Kluyveromyces lactis: one gene and its partners. The protein of the gene in region 2 interacts with the protein of the main gene of each other region in a pairwise test. Links are inferred from orthologs where the notes say so. Each region holds a gene or a part of one and is shown on either strand. Other genes may lie near its edges. The genes, in order: NEO1, DOP1 and MON2.

What was found.
Region 1: the proteins of DOP1 (region 2) and NEO1 interact in binary tests that used the Saccharomyces cerevisiae proteins (3 or more experiments, as listed by UniProt). The link is inferred for Kluyveromyces lactis from reciprocal best matches to the Saccharomyces cerevisiae genes DOP1 and NEO1.
Region 3: the proteins of DOP1 (region 2) and MON2 interact in binary tests that used the Saccharomyces cerevisiae proteins (3 or more experiments, as listed by UniProt). The link is inferred for Kluyveromyces lactis from reciprocal best matches to the Saccharomyces cerevisiae genes DOP1 and MON2.

What each region holds. Positions count from the first base shown.
Region 1 is NC_006039.1:733,255-737,548, forward strand, and holds the start of NEO1 (aminophospholipid-translocating P4-type ATPase NEO1), read left to right. Parts: upstream 1-1,400; coding exon 1,401-4,294. Other genes in the region: KLLA0_C08371g (60S ribosomal protein eL34), read left to right, coding at 228-568. UniProt on the Saccharomyces cerevisiae protein: Flippase that catalyzes the hydrolysis of ATP coupled to the transport of lysophosphatidylserine, phosphatidylethanolamine, and phosphatidylserine from the lumenal to the cytosolic leaflet of the Golgi apparatus membrane and ensures the maintenance of asymmetric distribution of phospholipids.
Region 2 is NC_006042.1:1,637,683-1,641,827, forward strand, and holds the start of DOP1 (Dop1p), read left to right. Parts: upstream 1-1,248; coding exon 1,249-4,145. Other genes in the region: TML25 (palmitoyl-(protein) hydrolase), read left to right, coding at 121-807. UniProt on the Saccharomyces cerevisiae protein: Required for traffic between late Golgi and early endosomes, and for the normal structure and organization of the endoplasmic reticulum. Required for normal cellular morphogenesis.
Region 3 is NC_006037.1:663,312-665,978, reverse strand, and holds the end of MON2 (Mon2p), read left to right. Parts: coding exon 1-2,023; downstream 2,024-2,667. Other genes in the region: KLLA0_A07403g (uncharacterized protein), read right to left, coding at 2,079-2,667. UniProt on the Saccharomyces cerevisiae protein: Required for traffic between late Golgi and early endosomes. Required for endocytosis and maintenance of vacuolar structure.

The DNA of each region.
Region 1 (4,294 bases), on a different chromosome or scaffold from region 2:
CTATAACAAATGTTCTAATATGTTGAAGTGCATGATGACGCATCTCATCTGCCGATGAGATTGGCCATACTTTCTCCAATTAAGATGTGTTACCTATTTTAGCAGAAACGTTGCACTTGGAATATTCATTTAATCATATGTGATTGGTTCAGCAATAGCTATTCGTATGAATAATTACATCAAAATTGCAATAAAATACTAACAGAATTTCCCGTTTTTCATTACAGACAACACCAAGTCTAACAAGATCAAGGTTGTTAAGACCCCAGGTGGTGCTTTGCGTAGTCAACACGTCAAGAAGTTGGCTACCAGACCAAAGTGTGGTGACACCGGTGTTCCATTGCAAGGTGTCTCTACCTTGAGACCAAGACAATACGCTACTGTCTCCAGAACCAAGAAGACCGTTTCCAGAGCCTACGGTGGTTCCAAGTCTGCTAACGCCGTCAAGGAAAGAATCGTTAGAGCTTTCTTGATCGAAGAACAAAAGATCGTCAAGAGAGTTATCAAGGAACAAACCGAAGCTGCCAAGAAGGCTGAAAAGAAGGATGCTAAGAAGTCTAAGAAATAAGTTATCTAATTCAAAAATAAAGGTCACTCTATAAAATGTTATCGAATGGATTTTCTTTCACATATATGAATAAAGAACATGGAATACCGAACCACGAATTATCTCATCAAAATTTTGTTAACACCCCCAACTATGCTTGTCAATGAGGTAGGAAAATCTTGATAACCGTTTCCAGGAACTGGTTTTCGTTGAGCCCAATTATAAATCAAAAATTGAACACATAAGTTGAAGATCGTTTGTTACCAGTTTTGCAGATCTCGAGTGTTTCCGGCTGTTTTTCTGTCGTATTCATATGCACGATCGCATCTTTCGCTAACATGTTTTTATTATTAATTCTCATATTTTGTACCTCATTTTTACTTATACTTATTTTTAAACTATCATGGTCATGTAATCTTTTATTATTATCGTTACACTAATCTTCCACTTTATTTTCATAGTAAGAGATGTTCAAGAACTATTGCGTATTTACATTAATTCATAGTTTGAAAGCACTAAATGATTGGGCCAAATAAACCCTATACTTACTCTTTCCCGATCTGATTTCGTATACTAATGTATTACCGGCACTTTGTGCTTGTATTTTGACATCTATATTTTTGTGCATTTTACTCTTATATCTGTCGTTCTCATTAATTTTTGGTCCTGTGATTGCAAAAAGCTCCATAATTCTATCATTTAAAAAAGGGCTTTGCAGACAAATCGAATCTGCATAATAATATTAAACATATATTGTAAACACAGTGGCTAAATCCAACAATAGACTGTATGGAAACATCATCTCCATTGTTAGGCTATCTGTAAATATAACTCGTTAGTCGTTCTCACCCAAATGTCCTTTTCGCCTCCACCTGGTTCACAGATCCCAAATAAATATTCAAAATCTAATCAGCACCAAGCTCAAAGTACAGACCGCGACTCATTTGATCTACAATTCGAGGACTCTTTAGACGCTGCGTTAGAATCTTTACAATTACCTGAGCATTCTCATAGAAGGGAAAACAGTACTGTTTTCGAAGATTTTGAGATGAAATCAATGCATGGCGATCACCAAACTGGTATGTTACATTCCGATGCAGATACCGCTCCATTGATAACAAATCACAGTAACAACGGAAGGATGTTGTCAAATAGTGATAGAAACGCACAAAATACTAATAATATTACTGTATGGTCAAAAGCTAAAAGTTGGTTTGAACATTCATTTACAAAAGCAAAATCGAAGCCATCCTCTTTATCTGTGTACAGCTCTACCAATTCCGTTGACGGGAACAAAATTGAACTGAACGATCATAATGTAGAAAGAGAAATTCACCCTGCAACGACTCCCATATATGACAGAAAAAAGTACCCTTCAAATGTTATATCAAACGCAAAATATAACCCGTTTACATTCATCCCACTAATATTGTATGAACAATTCAAGTTCTTCTTCAATTTATATTTTCTAATAGTTGCATTATCTCAGGCCATTCCTCAGCTTCGTATTGGTTACCTTTCATCCTACATTGTCCCCCTAGCTTTCGTTTTGACTGTTACAATGTCTAAGGAGGCCATGGATGATATTAATAGAAGAAAACGTGACAGAGAGGCCAACAATGAGTTATATGAAGTTGTGAATAAACCCTGTCCAATACCATCGAAAGATCTAAAGGTTGGTGATATAATCAAGCTAAAAAAAGGTGCTAGGGTACCAGCAGACGTAGTAGTTTTACAAACAAATGAGCCAAATGGTGAATCTTTCATTAAAACAGACCAGCTTGATGGTGAAACTGACTGGAAACTACGTCTTGCATGTTCATTAACTCAATCTTTGACAGAGAATGATCTACTGAATAATATAACAATTACTGCATCAGCTCCTGAACATTCTATACATAACTTTTTGGGCAAGATTACCTACAAAGATTCGACTTCATCACCTCTATCCGTTGACAACACAATGTGGGAAAATACCGTCCTTGCATCATCTGCAGCCTGCATCTGTTGTATTGTTTACACTGGACGCGAAACAAGACAGGCCTTGAACACTACTAAATCAAAAGCTAAAACTGGTCTATTGGAACTAGAGATCAATGGGCTATCGAAAATTCTATGTGCATGTGTATTCTTGCTTTCGATAATGCTTGTAGCGTTTGCGGGTTTCAATAACAACGATTGGTACGTTGATATCATGAGATATTTGATTTTATTCTCCACCATCATTCCAGTTTCATTACGAGTCAACCTAGATCTAGGAAAGTCCGTGTATGCGTATAAAATTGAGCACGACAAGCAAATTGAAGATACCATCGTAAGAACAAGTACCATACCGGAAGATTTAGGACGCATCGAATATTTATTAAGTGACAAAACAGGAACTCTTACTCAAAACGATATGCAATTGAAAAAAATTCACCTAGGAACAGTATCTTATACAAATGAAACTATGGACATCGTTACGGATTTCATACAATCAATGAATTCAAGGACTTCTAATAGTACTCCTACCACTACCCGGAAAAATATTTCAGATCGTGTTATTGATTTAGTGACAACATTAGCTATCTGCCACAACGTTACACCTACATTTGAAGATGGTGAACTAACTTACCAAGCAGCATCTCCTGATGAAATTGCCATTGTTAAATTTACAGAATCAGTTGGATTGTCACTCTTCAGGAGAGATCGTCACTCAATCTCATTATTTCATGATCATTCCGGAATGAAATTGGAATATGACATCAAAATACTCTTTCCCTTCAATTCTGACTCTAAGAGAATGGGTGTCATTATCTTCGATAAACTAAAACAAGAATACTGGTTTTTACAGAAAGGAGCTGATACCGTAATGAGTAGCATCGTGGTCAGAAACGATTGGCTAGAAGAGGAAACGAGTAACATGGCTACGGAAGGTTTACGCACCTTGGTGATAGGACGTAAAAAATTGAGCACAAATCTTTTCGAGCAATTCGAAAAAGAGTACTCGGAGGCATCTTTAACAATGATGGATCGCGAGGTCCATATGCAAAATGTTGTTAGAAAATTTCTTGAAAATGACTTGGAGCTACTTGGTTTGACTGGTGTCGAAGACAAACTTCAAAAAGATGTGAAGTCTTCAATCGAATTGTTAAGAAACGCAGGTATTAAAATATGGATGCTAACTGGGGATAAAGTTGAAACCGCCAGATGTGTCTCCATATCAGCCAAATTAATCTCAAGAGGGCAATACGTTCATACTGTTACTAAAGTAAACAAACCAGAAGGTGCTCTTCATCACTTGGAGTATCTTCAAGTAAACCAAAATTCATGTCTTTTGATTGATGGTGAATCACTCGGCTTGTATTTGCAATACTTCCCTGATGAATTCTTCGATATTGTTGTAAATTTGCCCACGGTTGTTGCATGTCGTTGTACTCCACAACAGAAAGCTGATGTCGCTGTTTTTATCCGTCAAGCAACAGGAAAACGTGTTTGTTGTATCGGTGATGGTGGTAATGATGTCAGTATGATTCAATGTGCTGATGTTGGTGTCGGTATTGTGGGTAAGGAAGGTAAGCAAGCCTCGTTAGCCGCTGACTTTTCAATTACCCAATTTTGTCATTTAACCAAACTTTTGTTGTGGCACGGAAGAAATTCTTACAAAAGCTCTGCCAAATTATCTCAATTTGTGATTCATAGGGGCCTCATCATTTCTGTTTGCCAAGCGGTCTACTCAATCTGCTCAATGTTTGAACCATTAGCACT
Region 2 (4,145 bases):
AAACCTCGAGGCATTGACACCATCAGTGTGGATATTTGAGCATACTTATAATAAGCTGGCTCTTTTGCTTTTACTTGGATATTTGAATTCATAAGAAATAAATTTCCACCACCTGATACAATGCCATTGAACGCTGTTAGAGTTGCCTCAAAGGCTCAACCTGCAAAGAACGTGATTCTTGTCTTCCATGGCCTAGGTGACTCAGGTTCGGGTTGGAGTTTCCTAGCTGAATACTTGCAAAGAAGCCCTGCTTTTGCGCATACAAGGTTTGTGTTCCCTAATGCTCCAAATATGAGAATCGATGCGAATGGAGGTATGTCTATGCCTGCTTGGTTCAATATTTACGACTGGGCGAATCCAGATGCCAGAGTAGACGTTGAAGGGATTAAATCTTCTTTGAAAGTAATTAACAGTTTCATTCAAGAACAAATCGATGATGGTATCTCACCCGAAAACATCATTCTTGGTGGGTTTTCGCAAGGCGCTGCATTGACTTTAGCTAGTACGGTTACTTCTCCTTATAAACTTGGTGGTTTCTTTGCACTATCAGGATTCTGTCGTTTAAAGAAAGAAGACTTAGATTCAATTGCCGAAAATAAGAATAAAGATACACCAGTGTTCCACGGACATGGAGACCAGGACCCTATTATCCCAATTCAATACGGTTCAGACGCTAAGAAGTTTTTCGAAAAATATTTCCATCTGTCAGATTATGATTTCAAATCATATAGAGGCATGGCTCACTCTACTTCTCTAGAAGAAATGCAAGATTTGGTTCAATTTTTGAGCAAAGCTTTAAAACTTTGATATATCAATTTCGTCAATAGATGAAGCTTGAAACAAGCTTGAGAAAGCATAGCCTTGAATTAATGGGCTACATTGTCATTCAAAGAAAACTGTTCTTTTTTAAATATAATAATTCTGCCTGTATTTACTAGTCATATGCACCTCAATGTTTTGGCAAGTATATCAATATAGAGGACGCCGTGGCCAGGTTTAGAGGCGCATGCTACTCTGCTCTTCTATCTGATCAACTTGCATTACATTTTACAGTCACTTCTGACGTGTCCGTTGCCATTCATTGGGATTTGACTGTTTGGTTAAAGACACTTTTAATATAATAATAACAAAATATATAAAATTATAAGGTTTGACCAAAGAATGATGCATCAGTACCGAGATAAGGAAGAACATCAAGACAAACTGCCCCTCTGAAACTTGACTTATCGGCATAGAAAAAAAACAGCCATGTCGTTGCCATTGAGGCCCTTGTCTCTAGATGTGAACACAAAGCAGCTAGATTCTAAACAGAAGAAGTTCCACCAGGCTGTGGAAAGGGCATTGCAACATTTCGATGCTGTCACGGAATGGGCTGACTATATCAGCAGCTTAGGAAAGCTTCTCAAGGCTTTACAAAGTTGGTCTCCTAAATTCCAGAATGTTAAATACTACGTTCCATATCCTTATCAGGTTGCTAGAAGATTGTCTTCATCATTATCTCCAAACTTACCTTCAGGAGTTCATTTGAAAACATTAGAGGTTTATAATTACATTTTTGAGAAGATTGGGCCCGACACTTTGGGGAAGGAAGTGAATATTTGGATAGGTGGCGTTCTACCCTTGATGTCTTATGCGTCCATATCGGTTAAACATCCATTGATTGAACTGTATGAGAAATACATTGTAAGTCTATCTTCTGTTACGTTGAAAATTATAGTGAAACCTGTGTTGGCAAGTTTGTTCCCAGGGATCGACGACGAAAGTAGTGAGTCGCAAGCAAGTACCATAAATTTGATAGAGACTCTTTACACTAATCTAGATGATCCCTCTTTATTTTGGCAAACTTCTTTCATTATTATAATCAATAATAAAGATAGAAGATTGGGCGGTCTAGTGTGGTTGACGAAAAAGTTACCATCGTTAAATGCAGTTCCTCATTTAGCTGCAAAGGAAAAGGACACAGCTTTAACTAAAAAGGATTCGAAGGAGAGGAAAGAATTTGCTTTGTCGTTGTTACTCGATGCCTCCAAACCAGTAGTTTCACCCGAGCCAGGTTTGCTAATAAGATCTTTTGTTAGATGTCTTGAAGATGAGAACGAAATCCTAATCCAAAGAGGTATTTTGGACTTACTTTTGCAAAGGTTGCATTTGCATTCACCATTGTTGCAAGTGTTAGTTAAACCTTCCGACTGTCGGCTCTTAATCATGACGGCATGCAGAACAATGTTGAAAAAAGACATGTCTCTCAATAGAAGAATATGGAACTGGCTGCTTGGACCAGTACTAGATCCAGAATCTGGAGATCATAGCGATTCCGAGTATTTTATCAAGAACGGTGCTCAACATTTGTTAGGCGGATTGCATGAGATGCTCGAACACCCTCAGACGTGCATCGATGCTTACAAAATCGTGTCTGCGTTGATGGATCGCTGGCAAATTGGATCTTATTTAACACCGAAAATATTCATCCCACTTATCGAGAAATGCAGAGAGTACTCGGACAATCAATTAGTATTGAAAACAGCGTCTTCTTTCTTTGATTCTGTCGAAACTAATATCATTTGGGGGAAGCTTTTCGAAAAAGTGTTTTGCGATAATGACTATGACCTTCTAATATATGTGCTACAAAATTTCCGCTGTTCCACTGATGAAGAAATAACAGTACGTCACTTGCCGCTAATTCTACTATCGTTACTATGTCAGAGTTCGATTGAAATTCCAAAGTGTACTCAAATATTAGAAATTCTTGTACGAATGATACCTGAAAGAGCCTACTTGCCCATTCATCACTCTTCTTTATCCCAGGGAAGCACGCTATCCTATGAGAAATGCTTTACTGATATCAAATCTTACTATGAACAGGTGTCAGATCCTCTTAATTCCAAAGATCTAAATTCGTCATCTGATTTAAGTCCTCCTTTCAATACGGCAGATCTAACTTTTTTAATCACTTATAGAGTGCATTTACTGTTGATCGAAAATATTCGAAGATATCAAAACATAAATGATATTTCGAAATTGTTTGTATTATTCATTGAAATAATCCCCGAGCAGTATGATGTATCAGAAGAAGCTGAAGTGGTGAAGTGGTCAGATACTGATTTGATAGAGTGTATCTTTGAACAAAATGATGCAATCGAAAGTGCTCCTGAACAGTCACTACAAGGAATTGTTGAGATTTACACTAAATATTTGTTCCGTAATTTACCGATATTGGATTCGATGCGACTATTAAAGATAATTATGAAAGGGCTGTGGTCATTACTCTTAGATCATAATAAACAAATTGACGCAGTCGAAATGCTCAAAGTCATAACAAGACATGTTCCATCGTCAAGAATTGAAAGCTGCTTAGCTTCTGTTTATTTGGGGGATTGCGACATTAACAATCGTCTAGTTGTTCTAGACTGCCTCTGGACTCATCTAGCAGGTAACTTTGATATTATAAAAAGACCTTTGTCCCTAGCTTTGGACGAACTTTCTGATGAAAAGAATTCTAACTACTGGTATGTGCATGAATGGGTGGTATCTATCATTTCTGGTGAATCCGGAAACAAGTTCTTTGAACTTTTGGTTGAAAACCCCCTTCAATTTGAGTTTATAAATAACGAAAAGATTGGCAATATGGACGATTTGGCGCTATTTACTTATCATCTTGATGTTTTGAGAAATGTTTTAAAAACCCCAGACACTGTGGTCTATAAAGCTTTCGGAATTCAATTAGTAACTGAAAAATTATCCAAGGACTGGGCGGCCGAAGACGTATCGTCATATAAAAGCTTGGTTATTGCTGTGCTGCTAAAATTTCTAAGTATCCAAAATGACGCACCTGGCAATAGCATAAAAAGTGCATTATCTCTTTTAAGTTTGCTTGTCAACGGTACTGAAATAAATTTCAAGAACATTGTGACGAGATTGCTCCAAATTTCTACGGAATACATTGCCAGTAAAGTTCCTGATTCTCAAGTTGTTGTCGTATCTTTGCTACAAATAATCTCACAGGTGCTATCTTTATCGGATAAAAGACAAATTAAGCTTGACATCTTTACCGAGGACTCTTCGCATATGAAATATGTTGATTTTCTTGTATCTACAGTAAGTCATATTGATGATGACTTAGTCTTTTCATCCTATGTCAATTTACT
Region 3 (2,667 bases), on a different chromosome or scaffold from region 2:
ATCCTTTTCCTCTATTAGTCAGTTTTGGCTAATTGCAGACTCTCTTCGTATGCAAAAAGGAGATGCATCAGTTGAGGAATCAGAAACAAAATCCTATGATGCTCTAGTACAAAAAGGAGAAATAAACAAAATTATTGAGCAGGATTTTCCTATATCACAAAAGTTAAAGGCTTTGTGGATTTATTTACTGGTTACACTAGTACGCTGTGCATATGATCTTCGTCCTGAGGTTAAAAATGGTGCTGTGCAAACTTTCTTTGGAATTTTGGACTCAAATTTTAACCTTTTCCCATCCTGGGATCTTATTGCGTCGCAGGTTTTGAAGCTTTTGCTTTCATTTAATCTTCCTGTTGAGAACGCTAATGGGTATGCAGAATTTGTCAACATTACCTTCAAGGGATTGCTTCAGATTTATTCTAAGCACTTAACGTATTTCAACTCCCAAAATGATATGACAGAACATTGGATCATTCTTGTTTCTAAAATGGGTGATTTGATGCAATTAACAGCATATGATGTTGTTTATTCTGTTTGTAATAATTTCAAACAGCTTTTGGAAATCTCCAAGGCAATAGAGGACTTCCCAGTCTTGATTATAAGAAAATACTATGAAATTTGGAGCAGTTATAATATTGTTTACACTTCAATTCCGACGAATGACTACAGAAAGAAAACAAACTCAGATTGCTTACAAGCCTTTATGGATTGTTTCAAACCTCTATATGAGCTCCATAGGATGCACTCCTTGATCGACACAGACTTCATGGAAAAATGTCTAAGTACCATTAATGCCAGTGCTCGTTATCCATTGCTTCCGGACCATATTTCAGATAGACTAAAACCCTCTCCCCTACAAAAGTCTCTCCTTGCTGCGATTGGCACTTTTGATGAAGATCTTCCTCCTAATTTGCAGGTTTTGCTTTTAGCTCAACTTTCTGCTATTGTTGATCTACCTTTCGAAACTCGTGACAGAATTGAAAAGAAGCTTTCCGCTAAATTGGGGGACCTTACAAAGACGAAGATTCCTTCTTTCGAAGCTATCAGTTATTCGGCGTGCGAATTACTATCACAAAGGATATCTAGGCTGGAACGTCTTGATAAAACGATTATCGAAAGCAGATCATTTAGCAAGTTACTTAACAACCTTTCCCATCCGATGACCAAAAACTCCATGATTTGTCCTTCAATAGATTCCGAACGTCCCGTACTTTGGAAGTTAGCATGTGATTCATTTTGTATGCTGTCAGATAAATTGTTTTATGCCTTGGTGGCCAATTTGACCGCAACCGAAGAGGATAATGTTAACGAATATACCGCCATATTGATACAAATGCTTATCGCGACTATAGTGAAAGAAGGAAAGCAAGATGATGAAAACATCGGCATACAAGCTGTTATCATATATAAGCAGTTGAAGGAACTGTTTATAAAATGTCTTTCTTTGGGATTGTTGTCGAAAGAACAAATACAGCCATTCGGTTCTGCTTTATGGTCAAGTTCATATTATTATGAAATTGATGAGGTTGAGGACGCTGTTATCAAACAATGCGCCAACTTAGAAGATATTGTCAGACAATTTGCAAAGTTTGATTTTGACAATATCGTTGGAAGTACCAAAGAACCTGTGGCTCTGCCCAATTATAATCTCACGGCAATTTGTTTGGGAGACCTTATAGCATTTTGTACTTTACAAACCAACAAAGGTGAAATTGTGAGAGAAGTATGTTTTTCGTTCATGATCGCAAGAGTGGCATTTGTATTAAGAAAGTTCATTGCCGACCAGCAGCTTCTCAATTTACAACCCATCTCCAAGGTCAAAAGTTTAGAGCTGCAACAAGTATCCAATGGGATCTTGAGTGTACTTGCATTTTACAACACGGTGGATACTACCATACAGAGCTTCGAATTGTTGGATGACCTTTATCCGTTATTGTTGAGGGCTATCCCTCTTTCTCAGAAAGTTCCAGGACTTCAGGACACGCTATTGCAAATAGCCCTATTATATGCAAAACTAAATAAATGAGGTTGTTTTGTAAACGTTTGATTATATAACTATAGAATAATTCATTAAGAGGTTATTAGTTCTTCCACTCTAGAAGAGATATTAGGTCTTGTGATTCACAGCTCATGTTAAAGAAGGAATGATGCAAGAGTTCTTCGGTAGATGCTCTGTATTTTACATCAACGCATAAGCAAACGCTTAAGAAACGCTTTATTTCAAGAGATAGATATTCTGGATGTTTTAGCTTAGGTGTACCATTTGTTGCAATCAAATATAAGGCTTTCAATGGTTCCTCATTCAAATATGGTGGTTCACTTTCAAGCATTTCAATTGTCATAATACCTAAGGACCAAACGTCAACCTTTTCATCATACTCTCTTTGCTTGACAACTTCAGGGGCCATCCAGTAAGGAGTTCCTACCATAGTAGCTCTTTTACTTCTCTTATCGGTCAACTTAGCACAGAACCCAAAGTCAGTGATCTTAACCCGTCCTCTGGTATCAAGTAAAACGTTATCGGATTTGATATCTCTGTGAATGATGTGCTTGTCATGCAAAAATTTCAACCCTTGGCAAGTTTCGCGGACAATATATGCAATTTGTGGCTCGGTCAAAGGTGATTGACCACTGCTGCCAGTTGGGCTGTTTTCTATTATGTCTGTCAGG